2 linked regions of the Drosophila melanogaster genome follow. The protein of the gene in region 2 purifies or fractionates together with the protein of the main gene of each other region. This does not show direct contact. Each region holds a gene or a part of one and is shown on either strand. Other genes may lie near its edges.

Region 1 (4,555 bases), on a different chromosome or scaffold from region 2:
GTGTCCGCCGTCTATGTGCATCTCATCAAGGATCGTCTTTATTGTGGTGATGATCACGAGCTACTGGCCATTCGTCAAACTCTTACCCACTGCTATCAACAACTCTGCAAGAGCTTATGGCCCATTGTTCCCTTCCTGGTGGAGGAAAGCTGGAGCTACTATGACACCACAGGTGGTGCATTCCACGAGCAAATTGTTCAGACTAATCCTGAATGGCAGGACACCAAAGCCACTGAAGTGATTAATGCAGCGTTCGATGTTAAACGACTTATTAACCAACAGGCTGGAGATGTTAACACCTGGCACTTGGCCGTGACCATCAAAGGAAAGGAAAGAAGCCAGCTGGATTTGCTGCGAGAACTTCACAGCCCTCTTGGAGAGTCTGTGAGCAATTCTGAATTATGCGAGATATTGCAAGTGGGGTCAGTTACGCTCTTACAGTCCCATAATAGCGACTTGGATATTGCTTTAAGTAAACTTCAGATATCACTGTGCCCACGTTGTCGTCGCTATGGTCTGGAGGATGAGCAGAAAACGTGTCAACGTTGCTCTGACGTTATGGAGGCAAAGAACTAAGCGTAATGATGTGTTGTTATTTAGGTGTAAGGAATACATTTATGTTTTTAAAAACTCTGTAAGCATTTCATGATGGTGTCTCGCAGCTTGAGCCGGGTTGTTGGCTTTCCGCCGCAGATAATATGCGTCTCGTTGTCCTCGAACTTAATGACTGTGTCCTCATTGACAAGGTTCAGAGTCAGAGCGCCGCCAGTGCGGTCTAGCTTGATGTTGGAGAAGCCATCCTGTGCCAGCTTCTTCATCACTGCATCTACATCAATGCTGCCATACTCGTATTTGACGTTCTTCAGCACATCCTCCTTTGTCGGAGCGCTGTTGCTCGAGATGGTCTCGTCTTTAACGCTATCCGCACATGGCTGGATGCAGTGGACCTTGTCCTTAACTTGCAAAACTCCTGTCAATGTGGAGAAGGTCACGCCGGCCGCCACCTCCTTTGGCGATATCTTTTGGGCCAGTTCCGAGGTAATGTAAATTCGATCCAGCTTCCGTTTTAATGGCAGACGTATGATCTCGCCGCACTTGAACGTTATTATCTTCTTATCCGGCTGTTCAATGAACAAATTTGGGGCCGAGGGATGTGGTTTTGTGTATGCCTCTGGGATGACAAGCACATTTGGTTTCAACTCCTTGATCAGCTTATTTGCCTGCTGATAATTCAAAGAGGTGTCGATGGGACAGTAAAAAGCCTTCATGGCCAGTGGTTGGAAGGGCGCCAGTACTTGCAGATACGGAAAGTCCGGCTCCGTGAATATGATGGAGTTGTTAGGGTTATTGCCCCACATCTCGATAAAGTGAACAGCGTCGCCGAAACGCAAGCTAGGATGGCCACAAAAGACCACGCAGGGCTGTAAGGAAGACAGAGAATTTGTAGTATGAAGTTTTCACAATTATGTTAGACAAACCTGCCGGAAGTCCTTGCTAAAGCCCTCGGAGAACACATGGTTATAGTGCTTCAGCTTGTTGTTGCGAAGGTAAAAGGCATGTGGGAAAGGATCGTCTGGAAGATACACTTTGTTCTGCTTGGCGGAACTAAGCCACTCGGCCAGGATATTAGAATACGCCAAGGAGCTGTCTGCCACAGGGGAAATAAAGAACATGGGAACATTGTTTAGGCCAGCGTTTTCCAAATTCTGGGTGAGGCACTCAAAGAGGTCATAGACAACGCCCGAAGGATAACAGGGAATCAAGGCAGACCCATTGTTGCGGATCGTCAAGGCCACATTCATGCAGAGCTCGCCCAGCTTCGTGTCCGGATTTACCGTCGGCGCCTGCGTCAGTCCGGTCATAATGAGTACATCGGCGTGCTTCAGCGCCGACTGATTGATGGGCCGCGGATGTGTGGTCAACGTGGAGGAACCACTGACATAGCAAATCTTTTCATGCGCCGTGCTCAGTACCCAGTTGCTCGAGCCCAGGCAGTAGCCCGAGCTGACAGGAGTGGCGATAAAAGCTCCGAGGATGTCCAGCTTCTCGTCGTAGCCCATGATGGTCACCTTGGACAGACTGCCTTGGACATCCTTAAGACTAAAGATAGTGCGCCACTTCTTGGCGCGAAAGGCTTCGCTCAAGGGACTGGGCAGCAGATGAAGCTTCTCCTTCCACAAGCGCGCGGTGCACGCCTTGGGCGACACTTCGATATAGTCCACCAGCTCCTCCAGGAAAAATCGGCCGATCTGCAGCGTTGGCTCCGTGGCATAGACTTTGCCCTTGAACCCCGTGTTTTCCGTGATATACGGCAAGGCCAGCATATTAAGATAATTCGAGATAAGTATCACATCCACTTCGCTGAAATCCAGCATTTTGTCCATGGGTAGATTAAACTCGGGCGTCGAGTCCACGAAAACCCGGCCACAGCAGTCCTTCAACTCGCCATCCATTTGGGGATCATGATCCCGACTGGGCACGAAGTTGGGCAGATTGGACCACTTCAGTGACTGAACGAAGGGCAGCGGAAGGAAATTCAGGACTGTCTGCTCCGTGAGACCGCAGTCCAGCATAATCCGCAGGCCCTTGAAGGTAATGATATAACATGGCTTGGCCAGGTCCCCGCTGAGACAATACTGCAAAGTGGATAGTCACTTCCGCTAATTAAGTTGTTATTTACTTCTCAGGATGACTTACCAATCGCATTTTATTAAACCGACAGTGCCGATTAGACGATGCAAGTTTGTTTATATTTGGACCAGGGATGGGGAACGATTTGGTTCACTTATGAACCGGAATCAGCACCCGGCTAAATCATTAACCATAGGTACCAAAATTAGTTAATTACAAATTTTGGTAAATGTTTTACTACTTGTTAAACTGTAGTCATCACGCTTTAACATTTGTGCAACCACATTTTTTTCACTCCACTTGTTGCAGTGCTGTTGGTTTCCATCCCTGGTCTCTTTATTTGGTTTTTCGCAAATTTGAATAATGTCCCAGCAAATTCGCGTGGTACAATGCATTCAATGCAAAATGTACCAGGTGAGTGCAAACAAACTGAAATATATCTTAGAACTCAATAACTACTTATATATATATACCTAATTTAAACAAGGTGGACTTCGTGAAAAAGGCAAGCACATGGCAGTGTAAAATTTGCCGCCAAAAGCAAAGTTTGCTCAAGGAATTCTTTCGAGGATCGGCAGCGGAATGCCGGGTTAAGGTGCAGCATCTCAACTTAGAGCGCGGAATGCAGGAGGAATGTCTGAACACGGGCTTATTCCTCACGGCAAAGCAACAGCTCGAAGAGGAGAAAGACTGCCAAGAAAAAGAGGAAAACACCACACCTCAGAAGAAAACAAATAAATGGGCAAACTATGTGGATAATACCATTGAAACTACTCAAAAGCCTGCAGCAAAACCTACGAAAACCGATGAACTTTCCGACGAAATCTCTATGAACTTTAAGAAAACCAGGAACACAGGGCCACGATCCTCTAAACGTTCCGCTGAAAATATGCCAACAGTTACTAAGAAAATTTGCTCTAAGTGGAACGACTTCTTGTAATTCCTTAAAAATTATATATCATATATATAAATATATATTTGAATTAATTTCAATTAGAACTTATTTATAAAGCGAAGAATATTATCAGTGCTAGATTATCTCCAATTAAGATTTCCAGTTACGTGAATGAATTAAGCTTATCTTTATTAAAAAAATAATTTAATTATAATTGTTCAATACGTTTTATTAAAATCCGCTTCGTTCTAGTATTTGTGTATATGAGTGTGAGGGCCATAATGTTCACATTCAAACTGAATACATTGCCTTGCCTTGCACTAATGCTAGAAAAATACAAGTTTTATGATCCACTAAATATTGTTAGTTAAAGTTGGGGTAATTTGGGATTCACTAATCGCCGATTGGGCAACATGTTGGACATGCTTAGCTCCTTGTGCCCCAATCGGTTTGAATACTCGTGTATAGATTAGAGTTGGTTATAGTTAAGTGACGCCTGGTCGCGCTTTTATCTTGAGAGAAATTGTAATATTAGTAGCCGACTACGTGTATATAACCTATTCTCGCCGCTTAGGTGCTGGCAGGAGTGCCTCCGACACCCTCCTTCTTGGCCACCTTCTCATCGGAGCCGGTCTCATCGATGTCATTGGACTCGGTCTCCGTGCCGGGTGCACCACCTGCCTTGCCCGATGACCTACGTCGCTTGCGGTTGACACGCCATGGACGCATTGGAAACTTCATCGCCGGCAATGGCTCCATGCCAAGCACTTTGTAAATCTGTCGAAAGGCAATGTAGCGCAGGAAGAGCTGTGCGGACACAGTGAGATCCTCGCGCTCCTGTTTGGTCAACTCGAGTAGAGCGTCTGTGGGGTCCTTCTCGCAAGGATCCAGCAGGCCCGGTCCGTTGATTAGAAAGCCTGACGATAAGGCCTCCATGATGCGACGCATGCAGTCACCGGGCGAAATGGGAAAGCCAGCCGACGAGATGACCTTCTCTACGAGGAGCTCCAAAGACCATTGGGGCAGCGA
Region 2 (3,257 bases):
AGCGCGGCTCCGTACTCCCAATGCCAAGATCAATTTCAGCCCGTCTATTTCGCTGCGTGGACGTCCCGGTGGCAAAACCGTGATCAACGATGACCTCACTCCACAGCCGCGTTCCAAGAAGACCTATGAGTTTAACTTCGAGCTCGACGTTAGCATGGATGCCAACGTAATTGTGAATGTCAAACGCAAAAAGAAAGCGGACCAGGATAAGGCGACGGCGGTTGATTCACGTACACCCTCATCCCGCAGCGCGTTGGCGTCCAGTTCGAAGGAGGAGGCCTCACCTGTGACCCGAGTTAACCTGCGCAAGGTAAACGGCCATGGCGACTCCTCCACGCCCGGCCGTAGTCCGCGGACACCAGCCGTCACTGTGCGGAAATACCAGGGATAGGAGCCTTTGTTTTCTGTATTTTTACATTTGTAACCTCATTAATAAAAACTTGAAATATTTTCTTACTTTTACCTACATTTACTGAATTCGATAGCACGTACATATCTTTAAAAATCATTTATTGAAAATGAATTATTGAATTATTATTATGAATGAACGTTCAGAATTTTATGCGGATTGTAACTTTATACTTAATTATTAGAGATGCTAAATTACTGCTTGGATCTGCGCTTGCTGCTGCTGCCGCTTTCGTGATGCTTGGAGGAACTGCTCTTGGAGCTGGATTTGGTGCTGGAGCCGCTGCGTCGCGATGAGGTGCCACTGCTGTTGTGCTTCTCCATTCCGCCGATGGCGCTAAGAGAAGACGCCGCCGTGGACTTAGAGGATCGTTCTTCCTTGTGCGATTTGGACGACGACGAAGAGGAGGACTTGTGGCCATGCTTGCTGCTGCTACTGCTGCTGGCATTCGTGGAACTGCTGGGCTCGGGCCGGTAGAAGGGTGACGAGGAGTTGGAAGAGTTCGATGAGCGCGACGACGCGACCGACGATTTGGCTTTGCTGGTCAACGGCATGGGTTCGTCGGCTATGAAGACAGTTGGCGTTACGGCCGCTGCAGAGGATGTTGTCCTCCCGCTGCTCGTTGGCTTGTTGCAGCACGTGTCGCACTGCCAGTTCTGCTCCTGGTCATCGGCCGCCTCCTCCTTGGTTATGGGCGGCTTGTGGCACTCCTGATGGTACATGGCACCGCACTTGGAGCACTCAATCAGCCGATTGGTGGCCGTGAAAACCATCTCGCCGCACACGCAGCAATTGAGGTCGCCAAAGTCGCCGGTGTCACCGGTGTTAACTATTCCCACGGCGCTTAGACCGTCATCCGAATCCGCAATCGTGTCCACCGAATCGGAGGGCTCCTTGTCCGGTGAGTTGGTCAAATTGATGATCTCGTCCGCATTGATGGGCTGCTGCGGGGGCGTGGCAGCACGTCCGGAAAAGTTCGCTTCATCCTCCAGCATCCGTGGCGTCATGTTGTTGGTCAAACTTTTCTCCGGACCAAAACGCGCCTTCAAAGCCTCGTCCAAAAGCAGACGCAGTTCGGCCGCCGAGGTGGGATTACTCGAGTGCAGCAACTTGATGGCCTTCTTCAGCACGGGATCCACTTCTTGGGCAGCTGCAGCAGCGGCGGCTATATTTGCGGCCATCTTAATACCGGGTAGATATAGTAAATAACAATATAAATGCAAGTTTATGCCCGCGCAACAGCTGTTTGTTTGGTTTCAGCCATTCACTTGGCAACGTGCATAGGTTTTAGGCGGGAAAATTAAATTTTAAGTTATTAGCCATAATACGATGAAAATAAAGTTATGGATCATTTCATGTAATCTGAATATAGCCTTGTTAACAACAATGTTAGTATGTAAGTAACACTACACACGTTGGTTGTATTGGATTCTCAAACATAATGTATATTCAAAAGCCCAACAGCTGTTTGACCAGTGCTACCACACTGCTACGCAGCTCGACTTCTTCTGAGCGCTGCCACTCGCTTGTAAACGTAAAGTAACATTGGTAAGAGCGGGTGTTGTTTTTTGGCCAGGTAATTTAGCCGCATCCGAAAAAGGTATATTCAAGCTAAAAATAGTTATTTCGCCACTATTTGTGTTCGTTGTTATGCCTATCGTGCAACTGCGTCGCCGGCATTTCCTTATTTGTTCTGCTGCGCAAAGAAGAAGAATTGCTGCGAACGGCCGTTGAAAAATCGAAGCAGAGAGCCAATTGGAAAAGCAATAACAACTTGGCTCTCTCGCAAAACAAACAGTTAGCTTGTGATAAGGGAAATTAAATTACTTTGTGTGCGAAAAAAGAGCGCTAATCTTAGGTGGAATTACCAATAAAACAGTAAAAGAAACAAACTGCAAACGCTTTCCAGCGCTTTGACTCATTTAGTGCCAATATTTCAGAGCCTGCAGGTGACAAAATGCGTTGCAGTTTGCAAAAGGACTGCGCAGCTCCCACGCAGGAAAATTTTCGTCAGGTAAGATGATACATGCTGAATACATTTAAACTGAACTAAAAACTATTCATTGCATTTACTGACATTCCAGCAGATGCGTTTCCCAATTGTGATTTCCCTGCTTTTGCTGCTTTTCTGCAGCGGTGAGAGTGTCGCCGCTGACGCAGCCAATCAGCTGGTAAGTGGGCGGTTAGTGGGCGTGGGTCGTTTATTTTGGGGGTGTTTGTTTGTTTTCACTGCGCACTTGTTGCCTTTTGGTCGAGACCCCGTTTAAGGCCCCCCAATTGCATGTTTTTCGCTCGCTTATCACTTCCAGTCTTTGTTGGCCGACATTTCGAATGGCTAAGAAATCAATAGGCTGAATAATGAAGCGATAATAGTCATAAAAAATGTCTTGTTTTCTTTGAAATAGGAAAATATGTAACTGTAATATGTTTACTTTTTCTTTAGAAATTTTCCACCACGGAATGTAAACTCAAGGAGCCCATTTACGGCAGCACCTTCGACTTCAGTGGTCTCCACTCGGATTTGGCCCATGTGGTGAAGAGCATGAACATTGGAGGCGACCAATTCGAGTTCAATATATGCGGAAATCTTTCAAGAACCTGCAATGGGGAAAGTAATGTGGCAGCTTGTCTCAAAAGACAGGGAAAGGAGTATATTTTGGGTAAGTTAACGATCACATTATCTGTATCTCACACGCTAAGATACCTTTACTGTTCAGGTCGTCAGCACGAGTTGTTCTACAACAATGGAAATATGTTTCTGAAGTACAAAAGCGGCGCAAAATGCGACAATGGCACTGCCGACAAGCCCAACTACCAGCTGCATGTAATGTTCTCCTGCGACTATACT

What was found. Proteins that work in one complex are often made in the same cells at the same time.
Region 1: the proteins of IntS12 (region 2) and IntS9 purify together in Drosophila melanogaster (affinity purification with western blotting, with the first as the bait; one study listed by BioGRID). This does not show direct contact.

The regions. Positions count from the first base shown.
Region 1 is NT_037436.4:16,102,858-16,107,412, forward strand, and holds IntS9 (integrator 9), read right to left. Parts: upstream 2,771-4,555; 5' UTR 2,707-2,770; coding exon 2,698-2,706; intron 2,637-2,697; coding exon 1,479-2,636; intron 1,422-1,478; coding exon 624-1,421; 3' UTR 577-623; downstream 1-576. Other genes in the region: IleRS-m (Isoleucyl-tRNA synthetase, mitochondrial), read left to right, coding at 1-576; CG43295 (uncharacterized protein), read left to right, coding at 2,995-3,045, 3,119-3,571; Zn72D (Zinc-finger protein at 72D), read right to left, coding at 4,097-4,555. UniProt on the Drosophila melanogaster protein: Component of the integrator complex, a multiprotein complex that terminates RNA polymerase II (Pol II) transcription in the promoter-proximal region of genes.
Region 2 is NT_033777.3:26,861,803-26,865,059, reverse strand, and holds IntS12 (integrator 12), read right to left. Parts: upstream 1,685-3,257; 5' UTR 1,591-1,684; coding exon 604-1,590; 3' UTR 501-603; downstream 1-500. Other genes in the region: ball (ballchen), read left to right, coding at 1-391; Lerp (lysosomal enzyme receptor protein), read left to right, coding at 2,367-2,423, 2,494-2,580, 2,853-3,069, 3,127-3,257. UniProt on the Drosophila melanogaster protein: Component of the integrator complex, a multiprotein complex that terminates RNA polymerase II (Pol II) transcription in the promoter-proximal region of genes.